Linked DNA regions of Pelodiscus sinensis. The protein of the gene in region 1 interacts with the protein of each later gene in a pairwise test. Links are inferred from orthologs where the notes say so. Each region holds a gene or a part of one and is shown in the gene's direction. Other genes may lie near its edges. The genes, in order: TK1, GAPDH, ERG28 and RBM48.

Region 1 (7,329 bases):
GGGCAGAGTAGAGCGGAAGAACGACTCCTCGTGTCTTGCTCACAACACTCAGGGGCTGTTTCTAGACTGGCAAGTTTTTCCACAAAATCAGATGATTTTGCGGAAAAACTTGCCAGCTGTCTACACTGGTCGCTTGAATTTCCGCAAGAACACTGACGATCTCATGTAAGATCTCATGTAAGATCGTCAGTGTTCTTGCAGAAATACTGTGCTGCTCCCGTTCGGGCAAAAGCCCTCTTGTGCAAATCATTTGTGCAAGAGGGCCAGTGTAAACAGCACAGAACTGTTTTCCGCAAAAAAGCCCCGATTGCGAAAATGGCGATTGGGGCTTTTTTGCAGAAAACCGCGTCTAGATTGGCCACGGACGCTTTTCCGCAGAAAGTGCATCCTGCCAACCAAGATGTGCTTTTCCGAAAATGCTTTTAACGGAAAACTTTTCCCTTAAAAACATTTTTGGAAAATCCTGCCAGTGTAGACGTAGCCCTGTTGACTCAGCCCAGAATCATGTTTGCTTTTTTTGCAACAGTGTCACACTGTTGACTCATATTTAGCTTGTGGTCCACTATGACCCCTGGACGCCTTTCAGCAGGGCTCCCTCCTAGACGGTCGCTGCCCATCGTGTGTGTGACACGGATTGTTCCTCCCTAAGTGGAGCACTTTGCATGTGTCCTTATTGAACTTCACCCTGTTCCCCTCAGCCCATTTCTCCAGTTTGTCCAGATCATTTTGAATTCTGACCCATCCTCCAAAGCACTCACAACCCCTCCCAGCCTGGGATCATCTGCAAACTTAATAATCCCGCTCTCTGCCACTTTCTAAATCATTGAGGAAGATACTGAGCAGAACCGGACCCGCCACTGATCCCTGCGGAACTCTTCTTGATCTGCCCTCCAGCATGGCAGGAAGGGTCCTGGAACAGCTGGTTATAAACCCCAGTGGTGTCAGCCCCGAAGAAAATAACCCTGGAATGAATCAGTTTCACAGCATTGCCCAAGAGGCTTTTTCTCCTGCAAGGAGGGGCCCTGTAGACAGCTCCTTGGGACAAGAGCCTCTTCCGCAAAATGGTGGCTAATTAGGTATGCAAATGAGGCTCCGGAGATATTCCACCTTAGTCTCATTTGCATACTTCTGGCGCAGGATCGGCCCGTGTAGACCCAGCCTAAGCGAGGTCCTGAGAGCAGCTGGACAAGGACCCAGCTCCCTCCTTACCCCGCCCCCCAGGAGTACCCGAGCGGGCAGCCCCTACCTCGTCTGTCATGTCTTGCCACCGCCCCATGTCGCTGCCCCCGCCCGCCCGCACCGGCTGCGCTCGGCTCGCTGCGTGGCCAGCGCAAAGCAACCCCCTGCGGCCGCCCGCGCGCGGGGTGGGGCCGGCCCGGCCCGGCCCCATTGGCTACTCTGGGGGGGCGGAGGCGGGGGGGGGGGCACCCGGGGGGCACCCTCCAGCAAAGCGCAGGAAGCGCCGCGGGCTCCCCAGCAGCAGGGCGCACAGCTGGGTCCCTCGGCCAGGCAGCGCCCCCAGCCAGGGGAGGGGTCGCATCGTCCCGTCCGCGTCCCCACTACAGCACCTGGTGCAGAAGCTCCCCCCGCCCCCGCCTGACCAGGCCTGACCCCCCCCAACAGCTGCCGTGTAGACAAGAGGGGAGACCCCTGCCCCGGAGTGGCTAAGCGCCAAAATAACAAAGAGCGTGGTCACCCCAAGCTCCTGCAATCCCCGCTCCCCCCCCCGCTTCCACTTGGCTTGGATCAGCCCCCCCTGCAATCCCCGCTCCCCCCCCCGCTTCCACTTGGCTTGGATCAGCCCCCCGTGCAATCCCCGCTCCCCCCCCCCGCTTCCACTTGGCTTGGATCAGCCCCCCCTGCAATCCCCGCTCCCCCCCCCCCCCGCTTCCACTTGGCTTGGATCAGCCCCCCGTGCAATCCCCGCTCCCCCCCCCGCTTCCACTTGGCTTGGATCAGCCCCCCCTGCAATCCCCGCTCCCCCCCCCCCGCTTCCACTTGGCTTGGATCAGCCCCCCGTGCAATCCCCGCTCCCCCCCCCCCGCTTCCACTTGGCTTGGATCAGCCCCCCCTGCAATCCCCGCTCCCCCCCCCCGCTTCCACTTGGCTTGGATCAACCCCCCCTGCAATTCCCGCTCCCCCCCCTTCCACTTGGCTTGGATCAGCCCCCCCTGCAATCCCCGCTCCCCCCCCTTCCACTTGGCTTGGATCAACCCCCCCTGCAATCCCCGCTCCCCCCCCCCCCGCTTCCACTTGGCTTGGATCAACCCCCCCTGCAATCCCCGCTCCCCCCCCCCCGCTTCCACTTGGCTTGGATCAGCCCCCCCTGCAATCCCCGCTCCCCCCCCCTTCCACTTGGCTTGGATTAGCCCCCCTGCAATCCCCGCTCCCCCCCCCCGCTTCCACTTGGCTTGCATCAGCCCCCCCTGCAATCCCCGTTCCCCCCCCCCCGCTTCCACTTGGCTTGAATCAGCCCCCTCTGCAATCCCCGCCCCCCCCCCGCTTCCACTTGGCTTGGATCAGCCCCCCTGCAATCCCCGCTCCCCCCCCTTCCACTTGGCTTGGATCAGCCCCCCCTGCAATCCCCGCTCCCCCCCCCCCCCCCGCTTCCACTTGGCTTGGATCAGCCCCCCCTGCAATCTCCGTTCCCCCCCCCCCCGCTTCCACTTGGCTTGGATCAGCCCCCCCTGCAATCTCCGTTCCCCCCCCCCCCCGCTTCCACTTGGCTTGGATCAGCCCCCTCTGCAATCCCCGCCCCCCCCCGCTTCCACTTGGCTTGGATCAGCCCCCCTGCAATCCCCGCTCCCCCCCCTTCCACTTGGCTTGGATCAGCCCCCCCTGCAATCCCCGCTCCCCCCCCCCCCCCCGCTTCCACTTGGCTTGGATCAGCCCCCCCTGCAATCTCCGTTCCCCCCCCCCCCCGCTTCCACTTGGCTTGGATCAGCCCCCCCTGCAATCCCCGCTCCCCCCCCCCGCTTTCATTTGGCTTGGACCAACCCCCCCCTGCAATCCCCGCTCCCCCCCCCGCTTTCATTTGGCTTGGACCAACCCCCCCCCGGAATCCCCGCTCCCCCCCCCCCGCTTTCATTTGGCTTGGACCAACCCCCCCTGCAATCCCCGCTCCCCCCCCGCTTTCATTTGGCTTGGATCAGCCCCCCCTGCAATCCCCGCTCCCCCCCCCCGCTTCCACTTGGCTTGGATCAGCCCCCCCTGCAATCCCCGCTCCCCCCCCCCCCCGCTTCCACTTGGCTTGGATCAGCCCCCCCTGCAATTCCCCCCCCCCCGCTTCCACTTGGCTTGGATCAGCCCCCCCTGCAATCCCCGCTCCCCCCCCCCCCCCGCTTCCACTTGGCTTGGATCAGCCCCCCCTGCAATCCCCGCTCCCCCCCCCCCGCTTCCACTTGGCTTGGATCAGCCCCCCCTGCAATCCCCGCTCCCCCCCCCCCCCGCTTCCACTTGGCTTGGATCAGCCCCCCCCCTGCAATCTCCGTTCCCTCCCCCCCCCCGCTTCCACTTGGCTTGGATCAGCCCCCCCTGCAATCCCCGCTCCCCCCCCCCCGCTTCCACTTGGCTTGGATCAGCCCCCCCTGCAATCCCCGCTCCCCCCCCCCCGCTTCCACTTGGCTTGGATCAGCCCCCCCCCTGCAATCTCCGTTCCCTCCCCCCCCCCGCTTCCACTTGGCTTGGATCAGCCCCCCTGCAATCCCCGCTCCCCCCCCCCCCCCCCGCTTTCATTTGGCTTGGACCAACCCCCCCTGCAATCCCCGCTCCTCCCCCCCCGCTTCCACTTGGCTTGGATCAGCCCCCCTGCAATCCCCGCTCCCCCCCCCCCCCCCCCGCTTTCATTTGGCTTGGACCAACCCCCCCTGCAATCCCCGCTCCCCCCCCGCTTCCACTTGGCTTGGATCAGCCCCCCCTGCAATCCCCGCTCCCCCCCCCGCTTTCATTTGGCTTGGACCAACCCCCCCCCCGGAATCCCGCCACGGTCTCGCCCCTCTGCACCCGCCCCGGGGCTGCGCGGCTCGGGGCGGGGCGGGGCGAACGCGCTGCGGGCCGGGGGGGCCCTGGGCGATGGGGGGGGGCAGTGACCCCGTGACCGCCCCGCCCCGCATCCGAGGACGTTTCCCGCCAGGCCGCTGATTGGTGGCCCGGGGCGCGCGCGGGACTGGCCCGCTGCTGATTGGCCGGCGCCGCTGGAGGAGCCGAGGCGCGCGGGCCCCTGCGCAGCAGCAGCGGGATGAGCCACCTGAGCGCGCCCGGGCCCGGCTCCCCCGCCAAGGCGCGTGGGCAGATCCAGGTGCGGGGGGGCGGGGGGGTTCGGGATGCCGGGTTCGGGGGGGGCGCAGGCCCGGGGGGGGGTTCGGGATGCCGGGTTCGGGGGGGGGCGCAGGCCCGGGGGGGGGTTCGGGATGCGGGGTTCGGGGGGGGGCGCAGGCCCGGGGGGGGGTTCGGGATGCCGGGTTCGGGGGGGGCGGGCCCGGGGGGGTTCGGGATGCCGGGTTCGGGGGGGGGCGCAGGCCCGGGGGGGGGGTTCGGGATGCCGGGTTCGGGGGGGGCGCAGGCCCGGGGGGGGGTTCGGGATGCCGGGTTCGGGGGGGGGGCGCAGGCCCGGGGGGGGGGTTCGGGATGCCGGGTTCGGGGGGGGCGGGCCCGGGGGGGTTCGGGATGCCGGGTTCGGGGGGGGGCGCAGGCCCGGGGGGGGGTTCGGGATGCCGGGGTTCGGGGGGGCGCAGGCCCGGGGGGGGGGTTCGGGATGCCGGGTTCGGGGGGGGCGCAGGCCCGGGGGGGTTCGGGATGCCGGGGTTCGGGGGGGGCGGGCCCGGGGGGGTTCGGGATGCCGGGTTCGGGGGGGGGTGCAGGCCCGGGGGGGTTCGGGATGCCGGGTTCGGGGGGGCGCAGGCCCGGGGGGGGGGTTCGGGATGCCGGGTTCGGGGGGGGCGCAGGCCCGGGGGGGTTCGGGATGCCGGGGTTCGGGGGGGGCGGGCCCGGGGGGGTTCGGGATGCCGGGTTCGGGGGGGCGCAGGCCCGGGGGGGGGTTCGGGATGCCGGGGTTCGGGGGGGCGCAGGCCCGGGGGGGGGTTCGGGATGCCGGGTTCGGGGGGGGCGCAGGCCCGGGGGGGGGTTCGGGATGCCGGGTTCGGGGGGGGCGCAGGCCCGGGGGGGGGTTCGGGATGCCGGGGTTCGGGGGGGGCGGGCCCGGGGGGGTTCGGGATGCCGGGTTCGGGGGGGCGCAGGCCCGGGGGGGGGTTCGGGATGCCGGGGTTCGGGGGGGCGCAGGCCCGGGGGGGGGTTCGGGATGCCGGGGTTCGGGGGGGGGGTGCAGGCCCGGGGGGGGTTCTGGATGCCGGGGTTCGGGGGGGGGGTGCAGGCCCGGGGGGGGTTCTGGATGCCGGGGTTCGGGGGGGGTGCAGGCCCGGGGGGGGTTCTGGATGCCGGGGTTCGGGGGGGCGCAGGCCCGGGGGGGTTCTGGATGCCGGGGTTCGGGGGGCGGGCCCGGGGGGGGTTCTGGATGCCGGGGTTCGGGGGGGCGCAGGCCCGGGGGGGGTTCTGGATGCCGGGGTTCGGGGGGCGGGCCCGGGGGGGTTCGGGATGCCGGGGTTCGGGGGGGGTGCAGGCCCGGGGGGGTTCGGGATGCCGGGGTTCGGGGGGGCGCAGGCCCGGGGGGGTTCGGGATGCCAGGGTTCGGGGGGGATGCAGGCCCGGGGGGGGGTTCGGGATGCCGGGGTTCGGGGGGGGCGCAAGCCCGGGGGGGGTTCTGGATGCCGGGGTTCGGGGGGGCGCAGGCCCGGGGGGGTTCGGGATGCCGGGGTTTGGGGGGGCGCAGGCCAGGGGGGGTTCGGGATGCCGGGGTTCGGGGGGGGCGGGCCCGGGGGGGTTCGGGATGCCGGGGTTCGGGGGGCGGGGGCAGGCCCGGGGGGGGGGTTCGGGATGCCGGGTTCGGGGGGGGCGGGCCCGGGGGGGTTCGGGATGCCGGGGTTCGGGGGGGCGCAGGCCCGGGGGGGGGTTCGGGATGCCGGGGTTCGGGGGGGCGCAGGCCCGGGGGGGGTTCGGGGGGGCGCAGGCCCGGGGGGGGTTCGGGATGCCGGGGTTCGGGGGGGCGCAGGCCCGGGGGTGGCGTTCGGATGCCGCGGTTCGGGGGGGCGCAGGCCCGGGGGGGTTCGGGATGCCGGGGTTCGGGGGGGGTGAAGGCCCGGGGGGGGTTCGGGATGCCGGGGTTCGGGGGGGCGCAGGCCCGGGGGGGTTCGGGATGCCGGGGTTCGGGGGGGCGCAGGCCCGGGGGGGGTTCGGGATGCCGGGGTTCGGGGGGGCGCAGGCCCGGGGGTGGCGTTCGGATGCCGGGGTTCGGGGGGGCGCAGGTCCGGGGGGGTTCGGGATGCCGGGGTTCGGGGGGGGTGAAGGCCCGGGGGGGGGTTCGGGATGCCGGGGTTCGGGGGGGCGCAGGCCCGGGGGGGTTCGGGATGCCGGGGTTCGGGGGGGCGCAGGCCCGGGGGGGGTTCGGGATGCCGGGGTTCGGGGGGGCGCAGGCCCGGGGGTGGCGTTCGGATGCTGGGGTTCGGGGGGGGCTCACTCAGCCCCGGTCTCAGGTCGTTTCCTGTCTCCCCAGGTGATTTTCGGGCCCATGTTCTCCGGGAAGAGGTAGGGGCTGCGGGGTTCTCGCTGGGGGGTCCCTCGTCGAGTCTCCGGGGGTGGGTCGCGCTGCCCGAGGCTGGGCTGGGGCCCCGGGGCAGGGGCTGGCGCTTAAGCTGCTTTGCTGGGCGTCCGTGCCTAGATCAGCTGCTAGCGGAGCCACAAAGGGCCCTTCGTGCTGCCCACCTGCCTCCCCAGGTCCCTGCTCCCATCACAGGGCTGCCAGCTGGCCTCTGTGTCCTTGGTAGGCCTGCCCCCGCTGCGCTGCCTCCTGCTGGGATGCTGCTTTGCATTGGGGGAATCCTTGGCGGTAATAGCCATTCCTGCCCCTGTGCTAGCCTCATGCTGGGGCTGATTGTCTTGTAGCACGGAGCTCCTGCGCCGGGTCCGCAGATTCCAGATTGCACAGTACAAATGCCTTTTGATAAAGTATGCCAAGGACACGCGCTACGGCACCAATGGGGTCTCCACACACGACAGGTGAGCTCATCCCAGTATCGGGGCGGGTAACTATAGAGAACTCTGCTTACAGTTCACCAGGCCTGCCTTCAGTGGTGCTTGTCTAGGCACTTGGCAGCCCTTCGGCCCTCCACATGCTGCTTTCAGGAGGGGTGTTCTTTACAGCTAGCTGACCCGCAGCCGCAGCAAGTGTAAGTGGCACAGGGTTAGGCCCCTCAGAACAGCTTGAACCCTCTGTGACGT
Region 2 (7,753 bases), on another chromosome or scaffold:
CATTGAAATCAGGGGAACAGGCAGGTGAGGGGAGTCTTGCAGAGGGGGGATACCAGAAGTGGGATCTGGGATGCATGAAGGTGGGTGAGTCCAAAGGCCAAGGGGCTCATGAAGGACACAAGTGCTGGGGGGAAGGGAGAGGGGGAAAGCAGAGGAATAAGGAATTATGGAGCGAGGCTCTCTTTATGGGCTATGGAGGCGAGAGATGTGAGGCTGAGCCTTGTGCAGGTAGGTCATTTTAAAATTTATTATGGCAAGCTGGCTCGTTTGCTGTGTGACTGGTACATATTTTTTCCCTAGACATAGGAGTTACAGGCACTCAGCCTGTCCTTTGGGACAATTCAAAATGAACTGCTTAGTGTCCTTCAACTCTTTTGTCTTGTGCTCCAAACTGGGGCGGGGGGGGCTGAAACTGGTAAAGATGGCTGAACATAACTGCCCCCTAACAGTGCAGTGCCTGCTTAGTGTAGGCAGAGCCCCCTTCTTGCACAGTTGTGCACCTGTATCAATACCTCTCACTCACCTGCGGTGCAGCTCTGCCAGTGCTCCTCAAGTCTGACCTTAAACAAATCCTCATGGCCTTTGTTCTTCTGTTTGAAGTTCTGAATGTTTTAGTGTTGGTGGTAGTTTTTGTGCATAAGGATATGTTTGTAAATAAACAGATATGTAATTAATTTGCCTATAGAGTTAAATTAGTCCAACACCAGTTGTAATAAAACCTCTGCAACAGCCCTTTTTGGACTGGTATTATTTGTGGAAAAAGAGATATCCTGTAGAAAGAAATGAGGGTGACAGAAACCAGAGAGGTGAAAAAGTGTATTATGTTCCTCAAGCCTCTGAGACAAACACCTCCTCTGCCCTGGAGTCAGACTGGAACTGGACTCTTACCCTCAAAGTAAAAATTCTTCTAGTCCCTGGGAGCCTCCTATCTATTTGTATTCTGCTCTATGAATAAAAGCATGTGTGTTGGTTGGTGTGTTTTTGTCAGCAGGTGGCAGCAGCATCTTAGGCATGGTGCAGCCCCTTGGAGTTAGTTTACTGACCTGATCTTTTATGCTCCAGTTTCCCATTTCAGTCTAGGTGTTCAGTGTGTACTAATCTGGACAATCTCCTGTCATCCTACAGCTAGTGAGAGAGAGTGGCTGAATCCAGACAGGTTCCTTGCTGGGGAAAGACTTTGTCCTGTATTGCCCTAGAACGTCTTTCTCTTTCATTCTCTCCTGTCTGACTGTTTGCCTCAGTAGACACTGTTCTGCTGTGTTCATCTTACCAGCTGTCCCAGCCTGACCTAATACTTATGTAACAGCCATTCAACTTGCATTCCTTTGTCTCCCCTTTGCCAAACTCCACAGCTGAAGCTGCCATCCTACCTCCCCTTTCACGATGGCAGCACAGTCACAGAAAAGCCAGAGCCTTACAGCGTGGTTGCTAATGCACTGGCTGCTGAGCAGGCTTTTCCCTTGGTAGACTCTCATGCCTAGGTCCCTGTTATCTCCTAATGGGGCAGCCTGGGCCCTCTTCCTTCCACTTCCTGTGCTAGACTGTTAGCTTCACAGTCAACTTCTCTCTCCTGCTAACCACAGGAGAAACTGCTTTCCAGGTCCAGAGGCCATGGTACAGAGCCACGGGCAGGCATGTTGTAAACTATGTGTACCACCTGTGTTTTCTACTCCTGGTCGGTCTTGTAGTGGGGAGCAGGACCATTGGTGGGAGTGGTTCTTAGCTACTTCAGTGCTGGTTTTCCCCCAACAAGAGGCACTATAGTGGTGGTTGCTAGGATCAGGGTGTAGCAGTTTGCAGCTGTTTGGTTGGTCTGTCTTCCTTCTGCACAGAGTCCTCAGCAATGTGTGTTTCTCCAGCCAACACAGGCCCTTTTGTTAGTGCAAATGCTCAAGTAGCTCAGGAGAGAACGTCCATCCCCTCCTCTTCCTGACTTCTCTACAACATTTTGCCCAGGATCTGCCCCATGTCCTGGTGGGTCAGAAGTACCAAACTGTCCCCACTCCTCTGGTGTGGTATAGACCATCCCTGTGGCCTTTAATTAAAGGTCATAACTTCAATTCGAGCTAAACTTAGCTCCCTCCCACTTTCCCAGCCCTGGGAATAGCATCTGGATGAGGGGAGTTGGATTACTTCTTAACCAGTTGACCTGTCTCTGCTCCTCTTGGTATCTGCTCTGCTACCCATTCCTATCTGTGCTTTGCTTTCTCCTACTGTCTCCTCTCCCTACGGCGCCTATGCTACTGTCCCCCCAGTCCTGGTAGGCAGGGCCAGGGCCAGGGCGGAGGAAGGGTTTACTCCTTTACTATCCGCACGCATTTCCATAGCTCACCCGGTCTCACGAAAGGGAGACTCCTTAGAGCTCTCCAACGTGTTGTTTGAAACACGCTCCAGCTCTCACCCTTCCCGCGGCTCCAGGGGAGGGGGGATCTGTTCTGCACCAGGGATTTTTGTCCCCGGCTGGGCACTGCCACTCCTAGCCGAGCTGACTGGGGGGCGGGCATCCCAGCTCGGGCAGGGCGTCGCCGGGGCACTGCTGTGAGAAAGCTCATCCTGCAAGGCTCCCACCCGGGGCTGCACGGGTGAGGTGAGGTCGGCCTGTGAGCCAGGCAGGGCCCGGCCCAGGAGCAGCTCCTGCCGCGGGTGCTCCCCCTCCCGCGCACAAGGCCCCGAGCCACGGAAACGCCCTGTCCCCCCCCGCGAGCGGGCGAGTCAGGTGGTAGGCAGGATGTCCGCAGTCACGTCCCGCGGGTAGCAGCCTCCCTGCCTTACTGAATGTTCCTCACGCTGGGGAGCGCGGCCTGCTGGAGCCGGGCCCGAGGGCGGGACGCCAGGCCGGCCAGCGCCTGGGAACCGCGCTCCCAGGCTGAGCACGTCGGGCCGGGGCAAGGCGGGGGCGCCGAGCCAGAGAAAGGCCCAGGGAGCTGTGGCGGGGGGCGGGGCGGCAGCGCCGGGCCGGGCCGAGGGACAGGGGCCCGCAGGGTGCGGATCCTCCCAGGCTCGCCCCGGCGGTGCCAGGCTGCTGCGGGGGCGGCTCGGGGAAGTTGTTCCCGCAGGCGCCGGTGCAGCGACCGAAACACTTAACTTCTCAGGATTTGTGACTTTGGGTGCACTGAGCCTGCGCACCCGAACTGAGCAAACTCAGAGATTTTTCTACCCAAAAACACAGTTTCTCTGAATTTGCAAGCAGCCAGCAAAGGGAGCAAGTCCTGAGCAGTTGCACCGAATGTCATGTGTGCGTGACAGAAACTGTGACGGTCACAAAAACGGAGCGGTTTCACTTTTTGCCTATACACCGGCCCGAGCCCCTTCTTGCTCAGCCCACGTGACAATTGTGCCCCGTTCCTTCCGCGCCCGGGGGCTTGTGCAACTCCCGCCCAGCCCCCACCGCAGAGCCTGTGGCCAGGTTACCGTACTGTGTGTGGTAGAGGCGCACTCGCTCTCCTGCCAGTCTTCCGAGCGCGAGCTAGAATGAAGCGCCAGGTGTAACTCAGGCTGAGTGGAGACAGCTCGCCTGCTCCCACCGGGGAAGAGCCCTGGGGCCCATCCCCCATGCACGGCCCTTTGAGGGGGAGGGGCTTCCAGACCCCTCGTCCTCTCTCTGGGGAAGACCGACGGAGCCCCTGAAGACAGGCGCCCCCATCGAGGGATCCCGCAGACACGTGTGCGCGTCCCCTCCGGCCCCCTCCTCGCCACTGTGCTCCGATTGCTGTGCGAGTCCTTCCCCTGCCCACCGCACAGCGGCGGGGCTCCGGCAGGGAGTTCACTGGAGCCAACCAACCGAAAGAATAAACCCCACTGAGAAAGGGGATAATCGCCCGCCCCACCGGTCTGCGCTAACCCTTCAGGGCCGGGCTGTACTCTCCTGCTCTTCCAGTCCTGGCCTTCTCACGCACCTTATCTACCCTCCACTTGTAATCTGCTCCCCTGCTGCGCTTTCAACTCACCCCTCCCCATACCCAGGCGCGCAGGGGACGCCGCTTAGTGCCCCTGGCATTACAATAGCATCTAAGCCGTGGGCCCTTGTGCTGGGGCCCTAACATCCCCACAGTTCCCTGTCCCAGCCACCCCTGCCTCACAAGGCACTTCAAGCTTCGATGGCTGGGCCTGTGCCCATCTGAGTTTCTGGTTACAGAAAAGAGGTAGCGGGCGAAGCCCAGTGCATGCCTGGTCTCACCGCCTTGCACGGGAAGCTACATTGGATTTCCCCTCTGCACAGCAAGTGGGCGCATCGGAGGGATCTGTACATGTGACTCGCTTGTGTGGGGCCTGCAAGAGGGAGGGGGAGCCCCCTGAGTCTCCTTTGTAAGGCGAGGGAGTGCGAGAGAAGGGCCAAAAATGGGCGTGGGAAGAGGAGGCGCGTAACCCCTCAGCATTAGGGCTGCACGTAGCCCTCCGCCTCTGATTTGCCGCTTGCTCGAAAGGCTGGGCCCAGCGATTACCATACGGAAATCTATAAAGGTCGGGGCAGCCAGAGTCCCTCCCTTCACCTTCCCCCTACTGCAGGCGCGTGGCTGAGAGGCAGGGCCCAGGTAAGGGCTCTCAGCCGCAGCGGGGAGTCGGCACTTGGCCGCGCCGGGGTGGCTCAGGCCGGAGCGCGAGTCTCGGGATACTGGTGGGAGTGGGGCGCGGGCTGCATCTCGCCGCCCTACTGGGCAAGGAGGCCGCGGGGGGCCGGGCATGTGGGGCTCTGCGTCCGGAGTCTCTTTGTGCTCCGGCGGGGCGAGCGAGGTGGAGGCTGCGGGGAGGTTGCGCTGGGGGGCGCGGGGCTGAGGCTGCCGGTGCTCGGCGACGCAAGCCCTGGGGAGAAGGAGGCGACAAAGCCCTGGGGGGCGGGCGCTGGCCGGGGAGGAAGTGGCCTGGAGGCTCCGGCGGGCGCTGGGTCCCGCCCGTCCAGCCGCACGGGGGGCGGGGCGGGCCCGGCGGCTCAAGGCCCTCGGGCCAGTTCTCTGAAGCCGGGGGCGGTGCCGCTGCCGTCTGACCCCTGCTCTCTCCGCAGGCGCATCCCGGCAGAAGCGCGATGGTGAAGATCGGAGTGAACGGGTGAGCGGCGGGGGGGGCCGGCCACGGGGGGGCGCCAAGGGCGTGGCAAGGGCACCGGGCTGGGCAGCGCCGGCGGGCGGCTGAGTCATTTCTCCCGCCGCTGCCGGGGGGGGGGGGGGGCGAGTCACCCCGAGCGGGAAGCGCCGGGCGGCCGCATGCGGCCCGGGACGGGCGCCGGGGTATCGCGTGTCCCGCCGGGCCCGGGGAATGTGACCTTCTCCTGCCGCGCCGTAACCGGACCCGGGCCGCGGGGTAAATTTAGCGCCCGGTCGGCGGGGGCGGAGCAAGCAGCGGGGGGCGCGGGGCTCCAGGCGCCGCTGTGTGCTGCCCGGCTCCCGGCCCCTGCTGCCCCGGCTGGCTGGGTGGGAGGAGTGTAGGGCGGGGGCCTCCTTTGCATCGGGGCAGCCGCTGGGGCTAAAGCCCAGTCTGAGTGGCCAGCACCCATCGGCACAGGGCTCCCCTGCTCTGCCTGAGGCTCGCCTCTTCTCTGCCTTGCCTAGATTTGGCCGCATCGGCCGCCTGGTCACCAGAGCTGCCTTCACCTGTGACAAAGTCCAGATTGTAGCAATCAATGACCCATTCATTGACCTCAACTACATGGTGAGTGGAACCCTGGTCTATAACTTGGAGCATTCTGGGGATGGCCTGGGAATGTGGCTATCAGTGATACCATTTCCCTGTGAACCCTGCCAGTGCCCATGGCTACACATTGGGATTGAGGGGCCCAGAGTTAATGCCTGGGCTGTGGGAGTTGAAACACAATGCAGCCAGCACTCAACTTCAGTCTGTTACTCCTAGGTTTACATGTTCAAATATGACTCCACGCATGGTCGCTTTCATGGCACTGTCAAGGCTGAGAATGGAAAACTTGTGATTAATGGACAGGCAATTACCATTTTCCAGGAGTGAGTATGACTCTTCCTCCCCTTTCCCTTGGAGCTAGGGGACAGGGCATTTGACAGCCTTGCAGTTTCTAAATACTCTGGTGTCGTCCTCAGGCGTGATCCTGCTAACATCAAGTGGGGAGATGCTGGAGCAGAGTATGTTGTAGAATCCACTGGAGTCTTCACCACCACAGAGAAGGCCAGCGTGAGTGATGGGTTACATCTGGCTTGGAAGTGGGAAGGAAAGGGTGTAGGGATGAGACTCTTGGCTGCATGTGGAAGTGGGTGTGGACAGAGTTCTCTCTGCCCTGGGGCTGTATTGCAGTGCGATTATTTGGGGAGGTGTCCTAAATGTGCTGCTGTATTGGAGCGATATAGGATTTTGTTAATGTTGGTCTGTCTCCCTCAGGCTCACCTGAAGGGGGGTGCTAAGCGTGTCGTCATTTCTGCCCCCTCAGCCGATGCACCCATGTTTGTGATGGGCGTCAACCATGAGAAATACGACAATTCTCTGAAAGTTGTCAGGTGAGGAGGGGGACAGTTTGCAGGAGTCTTCTCAGGGTTGAACCTGAGGTGCATAGCTGACTATTGCCCTCTCTTGTGAGTTGTGGGGAGGGAGCTGAGAGGTGAGCCCTGACTAACTGCCTCTGGCTAATGTGTCCCTCTTGACTCTTCCAGCAATGCCTCCTGCACCACCAATTGCCTGGCTCCTTTGGCCAAGGTCATCCATGACAACTATGGCATCGTGGAAGGTCTCATGGTAGGTAATCTGGAGGCGCAAAAACCCACACCAGCTCTGTCAGTGGGACAGAACCATGGAGCTTTTGGGGGGGAGGGGTGTCTCTGCACACTCAAGCTGGGACTCCTCAACCCACAGTTTTGGGTGTAGAGGAAGGAGGATTGGGAACCCACAGAGCAGGAGTGTCTCCCTATACTGCCTGGACTAGAGGAAAGTTGAGGAAGGCTGGGGGAGGAATGCTCTAGGTCAGCAGGGTGAGGCTCTAGAGAAATTCAATTAACCCTTCCCCCTTTTTCCCCCAACTTCCAGACCACTGTCCATGCCATCACAGCCACGCAGAAGACTGTGGATGGCCCCTCTGGGAAGTTATGGCGAGATGGCAGAGGTGCTGCCCAGAACATCATTCCAGCATCCACTGGAGCTGCTAAGGCTGTGGGCAAGGTCATTCCTGAGCTGAACGGGTGAGTGTCAGTTCCTTCTCCCAGTGCCCCAAAGCAGGGGATTCATCAGAAGGGGTAGTGAACCTTCAGCTGGCCGGTCTTGCCCTTTCCTCAGCAGGATGTGCAGAAACCCTGTTTGGGGGCAAGCAGGAGTCTATTCTGATCTGTTTCCCTCACAGGAAACTCACCGGAATGGCTTTCCGTGTTCCAACTCCCAATGTGTCTGTTGTGGACCTGACTTGCCGCCTGCAGAAACCAGTGAGTATCACAAAAAGGGACTTGGAGCAACTTCCCTTTACCCCTAAGTTTCTATCCATTCCTCAACGTGTGGGACTGGGTGCAGCTGTTCTGAAGCCCCCATTCCATTTAGAACTGTTGTTGTTGTTTCTTGTGATTTAAGAGATTGTGCAAGGGGTACAGTCAGGCCTGTGGGGAGCTGCCCCTGTCTGGTATAGTACCAGACATAACTGGGTCCTAACTATACTCTTAGCAGTGCAGTCTCAAAGCTGGCAGCAACCTTCCCTGGGGAGCAGCTGCCATGCCATGGGGTCTGGGATGTTCTGACTTCCTGTGTCTCTCTCCCTCAGGCCAAGTATGACGACATTAAGAAGGTGATGAAGGCTGCCTCTGAGGGGCCTCTCAAGGGC
Region 3 (7,995 bases), on another chromosome or scaffold:
GCTGTTCTCAGTAGTGACAGATGGCAGAACAAGGAACAATGGTCTCAAGTTGTGGTGGGAGAGGTCCAGGTTGGATATTAGGAAAAATTATTTCACTAGGAGGGTAGTGAAGCACTGGAATGGGTTACCTAGGGAAGCAGTGGAGTCTCCATGCCTAGAGGTGTTTAAGTCTCAGCTTGACAAAGCCCTGGCTGGGTTGATTTAGTTGGGATTGGTCCTGCCTAGAGCAGGGGCCTGTACTTGATGACCTTCCAAGGTCTCTTCCAGCTCTATGGTTCTATGATCACTTAACTGTTTCCACTGTGACTTCCCTAAGGCAGGATATGTTTTGCTATGTGCACCAAGGTATGTTCAAATGTGCACCTACAGTACAAACAAAAACCTAGCTGCGGGCACTCTGCTGGTCAGCTCAGCAGCATTTCAATCTCCCCTGAGCAGCTGCACAAGTGCACAGCTTACAAAGAACACTGACACTTGGAGGGAGTAAGACATTTTCTAGATCTACATGCACCAATCAGAAGAAAGAGATATGCAGAAGGGGGGATGTGTACAGCATGTAAAATTTTTGGCATTATCTGAATATTCTTCAGATGCTTGCCAAGCGATGTGGCTTGTTTTATCTGCCTGACAACCCCATTAGGTGAGGCTGAAGACCAGGGTATGAGCTGAGAAAGCTGCAGCAGATATTGGTTAGTTTGCTAAGCCTGCATCCACAGGTTGTGTGTCAAGGAGAAATATTTAAACTTCCTAATGAAGCCTTACCCCTGGAAGTGTCTACCCTTGGTCACCATCAAACTCATTCCAGAGTACGAGATGACTCCACAAATAGGGATAGGATACAGAGCCTCTCACCTTCAATTCTTGATTTAAATCGTACATACATTGATAGTGGGCTCCAAAGATCTGTTCGGCCAATATGAAGTGTTACTGTAGCTGTGTTGGTTACAGGATATTAAAAGATGAGTGAGGTAGTATCTTTTATTGGACAGACTTCTATTGAAGAAAGATATGCTTTTGAACTTACACACATCTTCTTCAGGTCTGACATGAGGCAGAGCACTGTGTAAGCTCAAAAGTTTGTGTCTAACCTCAACAGAACATTGGTTCAGCCAATATAAAATAAATCAATGGCTTCAAATGCAATTCCCACTGAACAGGTGTCCGCATCACAAAGCCACCAGCACAACTGCTCCTCTCCAACTTCACAATCTCAGGAGAAAGGCCAATAATTGAAAGAACCAGGCAATCTGATTCTCTCCTGGGCAAGGGAAGGCAAACTATGGGTGACACACAAAAGATTCAGTCACCGGGGCAACTTCTTGGAGCAGAGGGCATTATACACAATTCTCTGCTTGTGCATCAGCCAGATCCCTGTGACCTGTACATGTTGCCCCATCCCTGATTTTTCAGTCTTTGAATCCGATTTCTGGGTTCAACGGTCCCTCCTTCAACTGCCTATCAACCCAGTATTAAAATTGGCTAGCACTTCACACTAGTGATAAGTACTTTAAAAAGTCATTCAGTAACATGCTTATCTGTACCATTGCATATTTGTTAAATATTGGTTAACGGATTAGTCAGTTAACCTCATGAATTCTTATTGGTTACTCAACTATTCTATGGTCCCCAGGGGTGGGGCCGGCAGCCAGTGCACTTCAACTCCGCTCCCGAGGAGCCCCCTGCCATTCCATGAGGCAGCAGCACGGGGTGCCTGGCGGGAGCTGGTCCATGAGGGGAGCCAGTTAAAAAAATAGCTCTCCCCTCAGACTGGCTGCCTGCCACCACCCCACACTACTGCGTCATACTCTGTCCAGGGGTGCGGGGGGTGGGGGGGAGCGCAGAGAGGAGGGCTGAGCTCCCGGACACAGCACGAGCCAGAACTGAGCCAGCTGGCTCCTAATACACTTTAAATGCAGAGTTGTAGCAGGGGTCGGTCCCAGACATGGCATGAGCCAGGACTGAGCCGGGCTGCTGGCCAGCCTGCTATAAAATATACTGGCAGGGGGAAATGCGTATAGTGTATAGCATTAACCTATACGCTTTTGCTTATTGGTTAATTTACTACACCATTACATCCCTAATGCAGAGATAAATATCTGTATACCCACTTCCCCACATTTCTAGACAGAGGTGCACAAAGAAGATTCCTGTGTGGGCACCTTCTCAAGGCTGAGATAAAGAAGTAAATGTAAGTAGGTCTACTCTCCACATTGGATAGCAGAGATCATTTTTCCCTGTGGACCATCCAGTGCATCAGATCAAATGTGAACATTCAACAAATATTTACTATCCCTAAATAAAGGCAAGCCCAATCTTTCTTCTTCCCCCCTCCTCAGACCAGACCACTCAGGCCTGAGCTCTTTATCTGGCCCCAGAATCCTCCCACACACCCTTAGATGAATTCAGTTGCTCACCCATTGCCAGTGTACAGCAGCATCAAGTCTTAGCACAAGCTAGCACCTTACTTACGTAAGTGGGAACAGAGCCGAGACAGCAGAAAAGGGGCTTTAGGTTAAGCTCTGCTCTGAGGATTTGCACTGAGGCCACCAGGACTCATACTATCCTCCAAGCAACTGTCCAGATTCATCCCTAGCATGACGTTGGTTACTTGATGCAGACACAGTACCAAACTGCCATCTGACTGAATGACGCCAACCCAGGCCCTCCTATCCCTTCCCTGGGATGTCTGAGAACACGTGGACAACTCAGTTTTATTGGGAGCATTAAGTAGGGGCCCTTTTCATGGTAAACTATGCTGAGAGTCGTCTTTGAGAAACAGAAAAACCTAGCTTGTTAAAGCAGACTTTGCTAATGCAGGAGTAGGACACCATTCTGGAAATGGACACTAGAGCAATAGAGATGGAAGGAGGTGCCACACAAAGCAGGGAGATAGGACTGACAGGAACTCCTAGATGAGTGGACTAACATATCTCCTATTAACCTTAAATAGAACATGAGGGATAAGAGAGTCCAAATGACCTACATGATAGCAGGCTGCTCTGCAATACCTTATGTTTCTATATGCAAAAATGGAAACAAATGCAGACAGTAGAACTAGGAGCTACACATTTCCCTGGATGGTACTCAAGAGAATCCACCCTAGCTGAAAAAGGGATGTCAGGGAGTTGTGAAAGAATGTAGTAATAATAAGGAAGACACCAGGAAGTGAGGAGAGTGAGAAAAATCAGCAGATGAGGCCTCACCCTCTTCCTATCAGCCCTAATCCCAGAGGCTCCCTCTCTGAAGGAAAGTGGGGTTCTTTTAGACTCCTCAAAGCAAAGATTTCTGTACCTACCAACATACTTGTTTATGATTAAAAGCCCCAAACCCACCCCATCTATTTCCTTCCTCAGCAAACAGACCTGAAGGATTACAGGTGAGGAATGAAATGGTCATACCAGATTAGTAAATATCCTCTAAAGACCCCATACATCCCAGGTGAAGCACAGCTACTATTCAGGCATTGTATATGTTTTTACTTACTCTGGCTCTTCTTCCACTTCTTCCTCCTCTGTGGATGAGCCAGTTTCCTCCAAGTCTCGAGCCATCCCAACTGGCATCTCATATAGGAATTTTCATGCAGTCCAGTCACTGTGGTTCTTAGTCCCTTTCACAGAGGATCAGTGGATCTAGCCAATGCAGCTTCCTGTAATAAACATCAGGAATATGAGTATATTACTGTGCAGAATAGCCTAGAGACATATGCCAACTCAGCATAAAGAGAGGAGGCCACAGCACTACCTCAACTGTTTCCAGTACAGTACACAAATCTACATGGGACATTTATCCTGCTACTACAGGGTATAAACTAAACTATTTGGACCAGGAAAAAACTTCCATAACAGTCAGCTTTTGTACTTTCCTCTGAACCATCACTAGTCCAAGACACTTAACTACACAGCAACAAGGAGTCCTGTGGCACCTTACAGACTAACAGATTTATTGGAGCATAAGCTTTCCTCGCTTTTGCAGATTCAGACTAACATGGCTACCCCTCTTTGATACAGTGCCCTGTCTAGTTAAGTAACTTTTCACTCACAGTGATACTTCTTTGGGGCCCTCAGCCCTTATGAACAATCTCCTGCGAGACCCCTCTCGGTCTAAACTGCTCCTGTGCAGGGAGTCCCAGGATAGATTTCTGATCAGCTTCCCAGAAAAGAAAGTTACTTTCCTGTGCACGGGACTCAGAGGCTAGCTGGAAAAGGTCTGCCTGCTTCTGCATTTCTTCCTCAAAGGCTTTCCTAATAGGGCTATGCTTTAGTCAAACACACGCGATGGTGCTCCACACGGGGGTCAGACAGGAGGCTCCGATGATCTCTTCAGGTTTCACCGCCACACGGTCTGGCGCCGACCCAGGCCCTCTGGTCGTTGCCCACGCAGGAGCCTCCGACTCGCTCTACTAGCGCAGCCAGAAGGGACCTGCGGAGGGCCCAGCACCCCCGTGACGCCTCGGGGCAGGGGGGCTGCTTCCCACGGCAGCGCCCCACCCCGCGCCGTCCGCTCCTACTGGGGGGCCGGGCCGGGCTCCAGGGAGACACCTGGCCCCACAGCCGCAAGCCACAGGCCCCGCCGAACGCGGCCGCCTCGGGGCTAGCGAGCCCGGGACGCCACGTTCCCGCCGCGCTGGCGGGCGGCACCCGCAGCTTCCCCCGCCGTAGCTGGCAGCCCCTGGGGCCGCGCCATGCGCTCCCGCCTTCCCCCTGCCTACAGCCTCACCTTCCTGGGGGCATGGGATGGGCTCCGGGCAACGCAGCCCCACCGGCCACTGCTCCCTCCTCCCGACGCTTCCCCGTTACTACAACAACCAACAGGCAGGCAACCGCCTCCAATTCCCTTCTGCGCAGGCGCCAGAGGCATCCCCTCCTCCTAACACGCAGGCGCAAACACCGCGCTGCACGCCTTGCCCGCGCCACTTGCAACTTCCGCCTCCCCCCAAAAGCACGCACAAGGCCCATTTTTACGTCACCGCGCCTCAGGAGCGGAGGCGCCTTATGGTAATATAGAGACTCGTGTAGTGACCTATCAATCTATATGGCGTGTGAGTAGTGATGGGTCTAACAGCCAATCTAAGTAGGGACAGGGCTAACATGGAACCAACCAGTACGCAAACCAGTAAGGGGTGGGGCTGCTGCTGCATAGCGGGTGGGCACAGGGGAGCGGCTGGAGCTGAAGGGCTGGGAGCAGATGTGCAGCGGGGTGAGGACTGGTCGGAGGATGCGGTGCAGGGCTCAGGGAAGATAGTGGGAAGGCTGGAGGGGCTCGGGGAAGGGCGATAAAATGTTCTCTGTTGGGGAAGGGCGATAAAATGGTGATGTCAGTCGAGGGCGGGAGGGAATCGGCGCGAAGACGGGTTGGGGGACTTGTGCGGGAGATGTGGGGCACGGAGGGGGTGGGACCGGAGGAAACGGAGTGGACTTCAGCCCCGGGACAGCGGGGCAGGGAGTGTAAATCTCTCCACTGGCATTAACAAGTAGGTTGCATTAACTTGGGTGTCAGTGCCCAGCTTTGCCATGCAGGGAGCTAGATACACGATCGGTCTTGCAGACGTGAGTGATGTGGTAAGCTGTTGTCTCCAATCGGGGGAGAGAGAAAGGTGGAGAGGATGCACCAAAGATTTCTACTTCGTCATGTTCTGCCCAGGACCCTGAAGATTAGTAACTCCCTACGATGGGGCAGCAGCATCATGTTGTTCCAGGCTGCTGGACATACAGATTTCTACTCTTGCATTATCAGGGGTGTAGTGCAAGCTTTATCTGGTGAGGACTGCTTGCTCTCTGGGGACTTATGGAAAGAGAAAGGGACTTTCTGTGGAAAAGCCGGGTTCCTGGCTTAAGTGGAAAAGTTCTAGGGAGTAGAATCCGTGTGGTTTCCTTTTGTGATGATCTCCTGCTTTTGTCCCCAGAAGCAGGTACCAGAGCATGATGAGCCGTTTTCTGAACGTGTTGCGCAGCTGGCTAGTCATGGTGTCCATCATCGCAATGGGGAACACATTGCAGAGTTTTCGTGACCACAGTTTTCTCTCTGAGAAGCTGTATACAGGCACACCTAGCCTTGGTAAGGAGCCCAAGTTGCCCATCCTGCCCATCAAGAGTCATTACAATAGTAGCTATTCCTCATTTATCAGCATATTGCCCCAAGTCCTGAAGAACTTTTGTCCACATCTCAGAAGTGAGCCACAGTGCAAATCTTAACTTCCTGTATTCCACATGCTAGCCCAAACGCACCAGGGCAACCCTCTTCAGCAGTCAACCTTCGTTTTCTCTGGAGCACGCCTGCCTGTCTCCGCTATACTAAGGATGTGAACGACTAGTTAATACACTAGTTGACTAGTTGCTTCCTCCCACCCTTGCTGCCTCTATCAGAAAGAGGCAGCAAGGTGGAGGAAAGAGGATGGGATGCTTCAAAGCGGCAGCGCCACGTGGAGCCCGGGACCAGACCCTGGGCTCCATGCGGCGCTGCCTCTTTGAAATGCATGCAGTCAGATGCCAGCTGGGGAGTCCCCAGTTGGCCTGGGCTGCACACAGCATTTCAAAGCGGCACTGCTGCATGGAGCCCAGGGTTGGGCTCCGTGCAGCACTGCCACTTTGAAACGTGTGAAGCATGGGACCAGTGGGGGACTGCTTTGAGTCCCCCGCTGGCCCCGTGCTCCCTGCAACGCTTTCTCCCTGCAACGCTTTTCCCTGGGGCTTTGCTACACTTCAAAGGTGGAGGCTCCCTTATCAACTAATCGAATCATCGATGCAATTTGCATCGACAATTCAATTAGCCAGTTAATCTAAAGCTAACATCCCTACACTGTACTGTCTTCTACTGTGCTATTCAGCATCCATAGCAATGCTTCTGATTTAGTGAAGCACTGGAACCAGCCTTGGTTCTTTTTCTCCCTTGAGGGTCTGTGGTTACTGGAAAGGGGAGCACGATTCCTAGCAGCTATTTTCGTACACACTTATCTGCCCTTGAATCATCTAGGAAATCTTGATATGGTGTAACTCTCTACCTGGAAGTAGATTTTATGTTCTTCCTTCGCTCAACCACTTGGTCGAGCCTGTAGAGATGGTAGCTCATGGGATGGAGCATTCATTTACCTCATTTGTTTCTTCTCTGCACAGTGAATGGTCTCCAAGCTCGGACTTTTGGCATCTGGACTCTACTGTCGTCAGTGATTCGCTGCTCCTGTGCTATTGACATTCGCAACAAGACGTATGTAAGGGAAATGCCAGAGAAGGGTGTCCCTTTTTCCCCATAGTGTACACTTATCACTGCTATTACTCTTAAGTCCTCTTATGGGGCAGTTCTGGCCATTATCAATAGCTGCTTCTTGAAATCCCCTTGAGTTCCTCTTGATGTAGGGGTAGACAGTCTTCCCTTGAAATATCATAACAGGTAGCCCCATATGGTGGATTAATCACTGGTCTCTAAGGGTATGTCTACACAACAGGGCTAAACTCGAAATAAGATATGCAACTTGAGCTACGCTAATTGCATAGTTTAAGTCGAAAGAGCTTATTTTGAATTTGGGCGCATGTACACAGCACTTATTTTGAAATAGATCACTCTTCCTCTGACTTCCCTTAATCCTCGTAAAATGAGCCTTAGAGGAGTCGGAGTAAGAAGTCTTCCAACTAGACATTAATTCAACATTGTCAAAATAATTGCTTATGTGTAGATGCGCACTTTGTTATTTTGATATAACATCAATTATTCAGAAATAACAGTGCTGTGTAGATGTACCCTTACTGAGCAGCTCTTGGAGTAAAAAGTTTAATTACTACCCCCTGAATCCTAGAAAGAGGAGTTGCTCACTTGAACCTAGTTCTTAGATCAAGCTGATAATTAGCAGAGCTGACACAGCCTTTTAATCCTGTTTCTGATCCTCATTCTGGAACCCTCAGCCCTGGGGTTTCATTATCCTGGTGATATTGGGTGCATAGCTATGCTCCCATCAGACTGCGTGGAATATGTTTGCCAGTTAAGGATTGCGTGGATCTCATCCCA
Region 4 (7,454 bases), on another chromosome or scaffold:
CTGAACTCTCCATCAGCCAGGTAGCTCTGCACTTGCTGAAATTAGGGATGTTAAAACGCGTTTATTTGTGTAAACGTGTAACTGCTGAAATTTTCAATGGATACATGTTTATGGAGGGATGGGAGGAGAAAGGCGGGAGCTGTCCCCCCAGCCATGCTATTGCCTCAGATACAGAGGCAGCAATGTGGGGAGTAGGGCTTAAAAGTCAGCTCCCTGCAAGCAATGGCTCCTGCCTCTCCTCCAGCCTGCACTGATGCCTCTGTGGGAAGCAGCTGTGTGTGTGGGGGGGGTGGGGGGGGGGGGGGCAGGGGCGGGAGAGAAAGAGAGAAGGCTTGAAAGCCGGCTCCCTGCACATACCAACTCCCGACTGCCCCTCCATCCCCACACTACTGCCACTGATACAGTGGGGGTGGGGTCTGCATGTGACCAAGAGGGTTAACTGATGAGCCCAGGCTTATCAGTTAACTGTGTACTTGGATACGCAATCACATTAGGGATGTTAAATATCAAGTGAATTGACTAATCAAATGCTCGATATATTTTGCATCGACTATTTGATTAGTTGATAGGGCACCTCTGCCTTTGAAGTATAGCAACAGCCCTTAAGCTGTTGCTACTCTTCAAAAGCTAAAGTGCTGTGTGGAGCCTGGGGTCAGCTGGGGATTCGCCCGGTGACCCCGGGCTCCATGCAACGCTGTTGCTTTGAAATGCTGCATGCAGCCTGGGGACACCCCAGCTGGCCCAGTCTCCATGCAGCATTGCCGCCTGGAGCCCAGGGTCTGGCCCCACGCTCCACGTGGTGCTGCTGCTTTGAAGTAACCCCTTCTCTTCCTCCCCTTGCTGCTTCTTTCTGAGAGAGGCAGCCAGGTGGGAGGAAGCAATTAGACGACTAGCCTGTAGACTATCCAATAATCATTTATCAGACAGTTGACTAATTGTTCACATTCCTAAATCGCATTCCTAGCAGAAATGCCCCCAACACAGTGGCAAATATCCTCCATACTCCCCCCCCCCCATACCTTGCTTCTGTTTGGGGGAGCATTGGGGGAGCAATGCCTCCCCCAAACTACATCCATGGACATCCCCAGACCAACTACTCCCAGTGCCAAATACCATGCAGTTATGTGACCACACTCTTGCAGCTTCCCTTTGCTTCCCTGTGATTTTGTGCGGGAAAGCTTAGGCATGGGTTAAAGAATCTGAATTCTGTGATGCTCAATAATGCAGAATTCCCCAATTCCCTCAGAAGTAAAACATAGCTGTTGTGGTATGCTTAGGATATAGATGTCCTATAGTGAACACAACAGATACAAAGTGAAAAGAAATAGCAGCATCAATAATATTGCTGCATTCAGTCCCAGTGAGGACAGTGGGGATCTGTCTGCCTGCATGGAACAGGCTGCACAATTGGAACCTAAATGAAAGCATTATTTCTTCCAGAAATTTTGTTTAAAAAAAGTGCATTCCAAACCTGTTCTCCTTCTGCAATGCCAAGTTTCTCTGCTAGGTGTCTGTTAATTTCAGCAATATTTTCACCATGGTGATTACGATGTCTAATTTCCATCCAACTCAAAAATATAGGCTGGTAACCCAAGGAGATTTTCACAGCTTGGCCCTGCTGATTTCAGACAACAAAATAACATTAATAGAAAACAATGTAAATAAAATTATACTCCACAAATACTGCTTGTTCTCATTAACAGTATAGACAAAACCTGACATTTGATTACAAAATGAAGAAATGCGGTTTGTTCCTGGATTTGCCATGCTTTCTTTTAACAAATAATGTAGCATCTTAGCACAAGACAGAAATACACTGTAATACACTGAATCATTGAAAATCTGAATACGACACTCCATGCCGGTGCAAAGATCTGCCTATCTATCTCTGATTTGATCACTGGGGCCTTGCTTTGATGGATACTAGAAACATAAAGTAACGAAGGTAGAGATTTACACACACAAAAGGTTACGAACCCGTTTGGTACCTCAATATATGCATCTTCTTGGCTCTTTATTGTTTTAAAGATTAATTTAGATTCTATCAAGTTATTGTTAAGAGTGTGGAAAATGTAAAAGAAGGGGATATTAGGAGGGAATTGGATGAGTATAGGCAGATTGTGTATCATTAGGAATCAGGGATAACACTCCATGGTACAATTTTTTGGGGGAAGGAGACAAGCAGGGGTTGTATCATGTATATGTATCAAAAATATATGACACTGCATTTGTTTTGTTTCACTGGACAAGTCAACTAGAGTTGAAGACAACTCTACAGAAAGTGGCATATCTTACGTCCCTTTGGCTAGCCGGACAAAGTGAGAGACTGTCTCAGCTTCCGAGGCACCGGTACCCAAAGCCCATCGGTGAGGTCCAAATTGCTGTGCTTTGGAGCAGTCTTAAATACAGTTTTCTTGCCTTGTTTGGCAGTATGGAAATTTCCAGGGGTTATTCATTACTTGCTGATGTAGGGCTCGGCTGTTAGTTATCCATCTGGTTCTGATTTTGTTCTACTTGTTCTTTGGCCTTGTTTAAGTGATCAGTGCATTAGAGTAAACAGGATTGTTTATGCGTTCTTGCCCTTTACCCTCGTTCTTGCTATACTGGCAACAATGCTTATCTTAAATGGCATATGTTCCCAAAAACATGCTTCTGGCTCATCAGATATGGGGGAAGGGGTAAGAATGCAGGCCTCACACCCCTAAACTTACATGTACAAAACTCTTCCGCAATTAACTCCTACACCCTGCAGCAGGTGGAGAGGCTGCTCCAACCAGCCATAGCTGTGCTGTGGGCGGCTGGCTGCTCTCCACACCAATTAACGGGTTAACTGATAAGCATGCCAGTAAAGCAATGCTTATCAGTTAATTGGTTAACTTTTTACACCTCTAGATCAGGGGTCTTGTGAGGCAGTCGATTCAAAGTGAATCACTGGCACTGGGGCCACCATGAAAACTTACTGGCATTGTGAGGACATTGTGTGTTGGTGCTGGTGGTAGTAACGAATTACTGGTATTGCAGAGAGTGTCATGAAGAGATGCTAATACTGGGGGCATCACTAGCATTAGCGGACATAGTGAGGAGATGTTAACATTGGGGGCACTGCAAGCAGCGTGGGTGTAACTGGCATGGAAAGGGAGCAATGCAAAGGGGCTAGTATCAGAGTCATCACTGGCCTCAGGGGTTGTGAGGAGGTGCTGGTAGTTTTGCTAGCATTAGGGGCTGTTGTGAGGAAATGGTGGTATTGGAGGCATTGCTGGCTTTGGAGGCATTACTGGCTGAGAGGGCACTGGTGTGAGGGGAGTGTGATAAAGTGCTGGCATCAGAGGAGTTGCTGTCACTGGCGAGCACTGAGGGGCGCCACTGGCGAGCACTGAGGGGCGCCACTGGCGAGCATGGAGGGGGAGCACGATAAGGAAGTGCTGGTGATGGGATGTCGCTGGCAGTGGGGTAATCGGTGGTATGTGAGGAGATCTGGCAGGGGGTGTCACTGCATCACTGGCATTGGGGGGAGGGAAGCGGCGAGAGAACGGCCTGGCGTTAGGATGGCAGGGGGCGGGGTCTAACGGACCGGGGGAGCGGGACTGAAGCGATGTCACCGTAGCCCTGAGGGGGATGCTGGCGAGGAGGGGTGAAGCCATGAAAGTTAGAGGGGCGCCTCCCAGTCCCTCCCGCATGCTGGTGGGGAGAGGGGCGGGGCTCTGCCACGATCCGCTCCGAGGGTCCCATCGCCCAGCCGGGGCCCGCCCCAGTACCTGCTGCAGGCGAAGGTGGGAGGCCAGCGCAGGCGGCAGGTGCAGGAAGCAGTCCCGGGTGCCGCTGAAGGCGACAGTCACAGCAGCGCCCCCCGCGCCTCCGGGGTAGCCGCTGCCCCACATCGCCCCGGCCGCACCCAGCCGCGGCGCGCCCCGGCAGCATCGAGCGGCCGCTCCGCACTCAGGGAGCGTTACCCCGTGTGGCCAGAGAGAAGGAAGCACGAGCCCTCAGTACTGGCCCCTACCCTCCAGCAACATTGGTACGGCCCGCCACAGGCCAATGAGCGTGCGTGCCCCCTTCGCCCGCTTTCTCTGATTGGCTGTTCTCTCGAGGGATTCTGCAGGTGCTGTCTGGTCAGCCCAAATCTCTCCTGCGCGTCCCCGCCCGCAGCCAATGAGCGCGCCGTAATCGCTCCCCGGTTCTGTGACTGGCTGCTGTTTCGGGGAGCTACTGGTGCTGCCTGGCCGTGGCGCGCGCGGGGGGAGATGGGAAGATGGCGGTGCCTGGCGATGGAGTTGGGGGCTTTTGTAAACACCACGCGCAGCAGGGCGTCTGCGACTCGCGCGCCAAGTACCGGGAGGGGCGCAGGCCCCGCGCAGTGAAGGTGGGAATGTGCGGGGCCTGCACTGGTTAGCCCGGGCTACGGGCCACCTGGGCGAGCATCTGGCTTCAAATGCCCGCGCCCGCCCGCGGGTACGCGCCAGGTTGCGGGCTGCTCTAGCCGCCTCCTGTTCTCCCTGCGGGAGCGTCACCCTGCTCCGAACGCTGCGGCGCCTGGGGCAGAGTTATTCACTCCCTGGCCCAGGCTAAGGCCACCCGGGGGCACGGCACAGGGCGGGGCTCTGGCTGGCTCTTGCTCTCCAGTGGCTGTGGGTGCACGCTCTGTGTTCAGTTTTGTGGCATTGTGATCCAAAGGCCGCAGCCTGTTGGGGTGATAGGATGGTGCAGGATTGCAAATCACCCCATCACACACTCTCACCTACCTGGCGCTGCCTGGAAACTAATGAGGTTTCATTCTGGCAAAAACCGATATAAAGCTTGCCACCAATGAGTTAGGAACCATTTGATTAACATATTTAAAAGTTTCAGAGGGGTAGCTGAGTTAGTCTGTAACAGGAAAAACTTAACAACAAATAGTCTGGTAGCACTTTAAAGACTAACAAAACGTGTAGATGGTATCATGAGCTTTTGTGGGCACAGACCACTTATTCAGATGAGCAGAGTGTTGGAAGTCCAGAACCAAGAATAAATAAAGGAAGGAGTGATGAGGAGGTGTCAATGGTTCTTGATGTCTGTGTAGAATCTGGTGTCACTACTCTTCCTTTCATAGTGCAAACTAATGATTATCAGCCTCTTTTAACTATTTAGTCTTTAAGATGCTAATAGACTATTTGTTGTTTTTTAAATGTTTCCTGTTTCAGACTGGCTCTGCTATCCCTTTGAAAAGTATGTACCCAATGTCCTCTTTTCCTCCCCTCCAATTTTTTTCCTCCCTGCCCGCCCCCATCTCTCCTTGTCTTATTTATTCTTGGTTCTGGACTTCCAACACTCCAGTCATCTGAAGAAGTGGGCCACAAAAGCTCATGATACCATCTACATTTTTGTTAGTGTTTAAAGTGCTACCAGACTATTTGTTGTGTTGTGTTGATTAACATATGTGCGTCTCTCATTACAACAAACATCAGTTTGTTCCGGCCACATTTAACATCCCCCACTCCACACAAACCTGGCCATATTGGGAGTGTTAATCATTAATGTAAGGAATGTTCGATTATGAAACTATAGGAAACATTAATATTGAAAGAAATCTCACATTTCAAAATTCTTCTTGCACTATTTTGGCCTCATTTTAGATGTCTTGTTACATGCTACAGAAAGCCTACCAGCATTCAGTTGAATCATAGAATTGTAGAAAATAAATTGAAAAATGTATTCCCTTATCTTGTCTTGAAAGGTTGCATACAATACATACAAGCTTCAGGGCCCAATCCTGCAAACATGTTCATTGTTGAAAAGCACATGTAATGTACTGGCTAGACTATATAGCATTGCTCTTTACTGGATCAGATCGGAAATAAACCTAACTCAAATGGTAGGCATCTGCTTTTGGATCAGAATGATTGAGTTCTATAACCAGTCACTGATGAGGAAGTCCCTGCTGATCATAGAATTCTTACAGATTTCTGTTTGTTGGGAGTCCCTATAATACTTTCTTTGAAAGATTCCAGGCTTGAAATCAAGGGGGAATGTTTAAAATTTTCTAAAGTTCTAAGAGGTCAATAGAAGAAAAATACTTGAGCTGCTTGAATATAGTATTTAATGTTTTATTGCAAGATAAATGTATGTAAATGTTTTTATTTCTTTTAGGTGTACACTGTCAACTTAGAATCTCGTTATTTGCTAATACAAGGCGTTCCTGCTTTGGGTGTCATGAAGGAATTAGTGCAACAGTTTGCATTATATGGTGCCATTGAGGAGTACAATGCTTTAGATGAGTATCCAGCGGAACAATTTACAGAAGTTTATCTTATCAAATTCCAAAAATTACAGAGTGCAAGGTATTGCAACAGATAACATCTGTATGCTTTCCATTTTCTTCAATCTTTGGTTTCTTAATATAATATATTTTCAAGTAAATTTCTTGAGATTCAGGTAAAATATTTATTCCACGTAAATATGCTTGGTAAATACAAGAATGATGTGTTCTCTGTACAGTGTAGTCATGTAAACGTTTATTACAAACATAGATCAAGAGAATATCAGTGATCCACAGATACGTTTGTTAAAATGTAAGCTATGGTAATATTGGACTAATGTAACATTTTAATGCAATTTTCTTTCATTTAGGATAGCCAAGAGAAAAATGGATGAACGGAGTTTCTTTGGTAGTTTGCTTCATGTGTGTTATGCTCCAGAATTTGAAACAGTCCAAGAAACAAGGGAGAAGTTGCAAGACAGGAGAAAGTATATAGCAAAAGCAACAAGTAATAGAGGTTTGTAATTGGACACCCTTTTGAAAGTTTAAAGTATCGCTTGTGTTGTGGGTATGTTTTAGCAAAGTAAAAATGCCTATTCTTATAGTTAATTGTTCCTATTTACTTTTCTACAAAGTGTGCGTGTCTGTGTTTTCAGTATTTTAAGAGCAGAATGGGAAGTTCTCAGTGTTCAATGGATTCTAAATGATCACAAAAAATATAAAACAAATAGTGAATAGGGGATTAACAAAAGGATAGGTTTTAATGCTTTTGTTTCCCTAGTTTCTTTTCTTGATAATGAGGTGTGTGATCTCATTTATCAGAAACATAAGCATAGCTAAGAAACATGAGGTGAGAGTCTTAGCCCCATTCTGATCCTTGTGCAGGGTAAATGGGCCCTAAGGTCATGGATCCACCAAAGGTAGAATTCCCCCAGTTGCAGGGACTGGTGATGCAGACATAGTGGGGGTGGGATGTGTCAGTGGTGGGGCTGCAGCATGCAGCACTGTGGAGATTCCAGACAGTGGTTCTCAAACTTCTTGGCCCACCCCACTCAACACAGACCTTTCCACAGACTACCAGTCAAATACCCATGACAAAATGAGTGCAGGAGAGGGGAGGAATGGGGTCTGGATGGGAGGTTGAATTCAGGAGTGGGCTGAGGTGAGACATCTGGGAAGTATGGAGGGTGCAGGAGTGGGGTGGATTGGGCGGAGGGTCTGG

What was found.
Region 2: the proteins of TK1 (region 1) and GAPDH interact in a two-hybrid assay, tested with the Homo sapiens proteins (2 studies listed by BioGRID and IntAct). The link is inferred for Pelodiscus sinensis from reciprocal best matches to the Homo sapiens genes TK1 and GAPDH.
Region 3: the proteins of TK1 (region 1) and ERG28 interact in a two-hybrid assay, tested with the Homo sapiens proteins (2 studies listed by BioGRID and IntAct). The link is inferred for Pelodiscus sinensis from reciprocal best matches to the Homo sapiens genes TK1 and ERG28.
Region 4: the proteins of TK1 (region 1) and RBM48 interact in a two-hybrid assay, tested with the Homo sapiens proteins (2 studies listed by BioGRID and IntAct). The link is inferred for Pelodiscus sinensis from reciprocal best matches to the Homo sapiens genes TK1 and RBM48.

Annotation. Positions count from the first base shown.
Region 1 is NC_134730.1:29,476,820-29,484,148, forward strand, and holds the start of TK1 (thymidine kinase, cytosolic), read left to right. Parts: upstream 1-4,150; 5' UTR 4,151-4,237; coding exon 4,238-4,297; intron 4,298-6,604; coding exon 6,605-6,636; intron 6,637-6,993; coding exon 6,994-7,107; intron 7,108-7,329. UniProt on the Homo sapiens protein: Cell-cycle-regulated enzyme of importance in nucleotide metabolism. Catalyzes the first enzymatic step in the salvage pathway converting thymidine into thymidine monophosphate.
Region 2 is NC_134711.1:138,811,920-138,819,672, reverse strand, and holds the start of GAPDH (glyceraldehyde-3-phosphate dehydrogenase), read left to right. Parts: upstream 1-4,417; 5' UTR 4,418-4,532; intron 4,533-4,996; exon of another isoform or gene 4,997-4,999; 5' UTR 5,000-5,020; coding exon 5,021-5,043; intron 5,044-5,543; coding exon 5,544-5,643; intron 5,644-5,841; coding exon 5,842-5,948; intron 5,949-6,041; coding exon 6,042-6,132; intron 6,133-6,336; coding exon 6,337-6,452; intron 6,453-6,605; coding exon 6,606-6,687; intron 6,688-6,975; coding exon 6,976-7,127; intron 7,128-7,285; coding exon 7,286-7,364; intron 7,365-7,693; coding exon 7,694-7,753. UniProt on the Homo sapiens protein: Has both glyceraldehyde-3-phosphate dehydrogenase and nitrosylase activities, thereby playing a role in glycolysis and nuclear functions, respectively.
Region 3 is NC_134714.1:43,678,615-43,686,609, forward strand, and holds the start of ERG28 (ergosterol biosynthetic protein 28 homolog), read left to right. Parts: upstream 1-4,888; 5' UTR 4,889-4,994; exon of another isoform or gene 4,995-5,384; intron 5,385-5,621; exon of another isoform or gene 5,622-5,756; intron 5,757-5,902; exon of another isoform or gene 5,903-5,905; 5' UTR 5,906-5,918; coding exon 5,919-6,054; intron 6,055-7,109; coding exon 7,110-7,200; intron 7,201-7,995. Other genes in the region: tubulin polyglutamylase TTLL5, read right to left, coding at 3,484-3,560.
Region 4 is NC_134712.1:213,671,998-213,679,451, reverse strand, and holds the start of RBM48 (RNA-binding protein 48), read left to right. Parts: upstream 1-4,165; 5' UTR 4,166-4,249; coding exon 4,250-4,360; intron 4,361-6,123; coding exon 6,124-6,314; intron 6,315-6,603; coding exon 6,604-6,749; intron 6,750-7,454. Other genes in the region: peroxisomal ATPase PEX1, read right to left, coding at 1,472-1,618, 3,756-3,878. UniProt on the Homo sapiens protein: As a component of the minor spliceosome, involved in the splicing of U12-type introns in pre-mRNAs.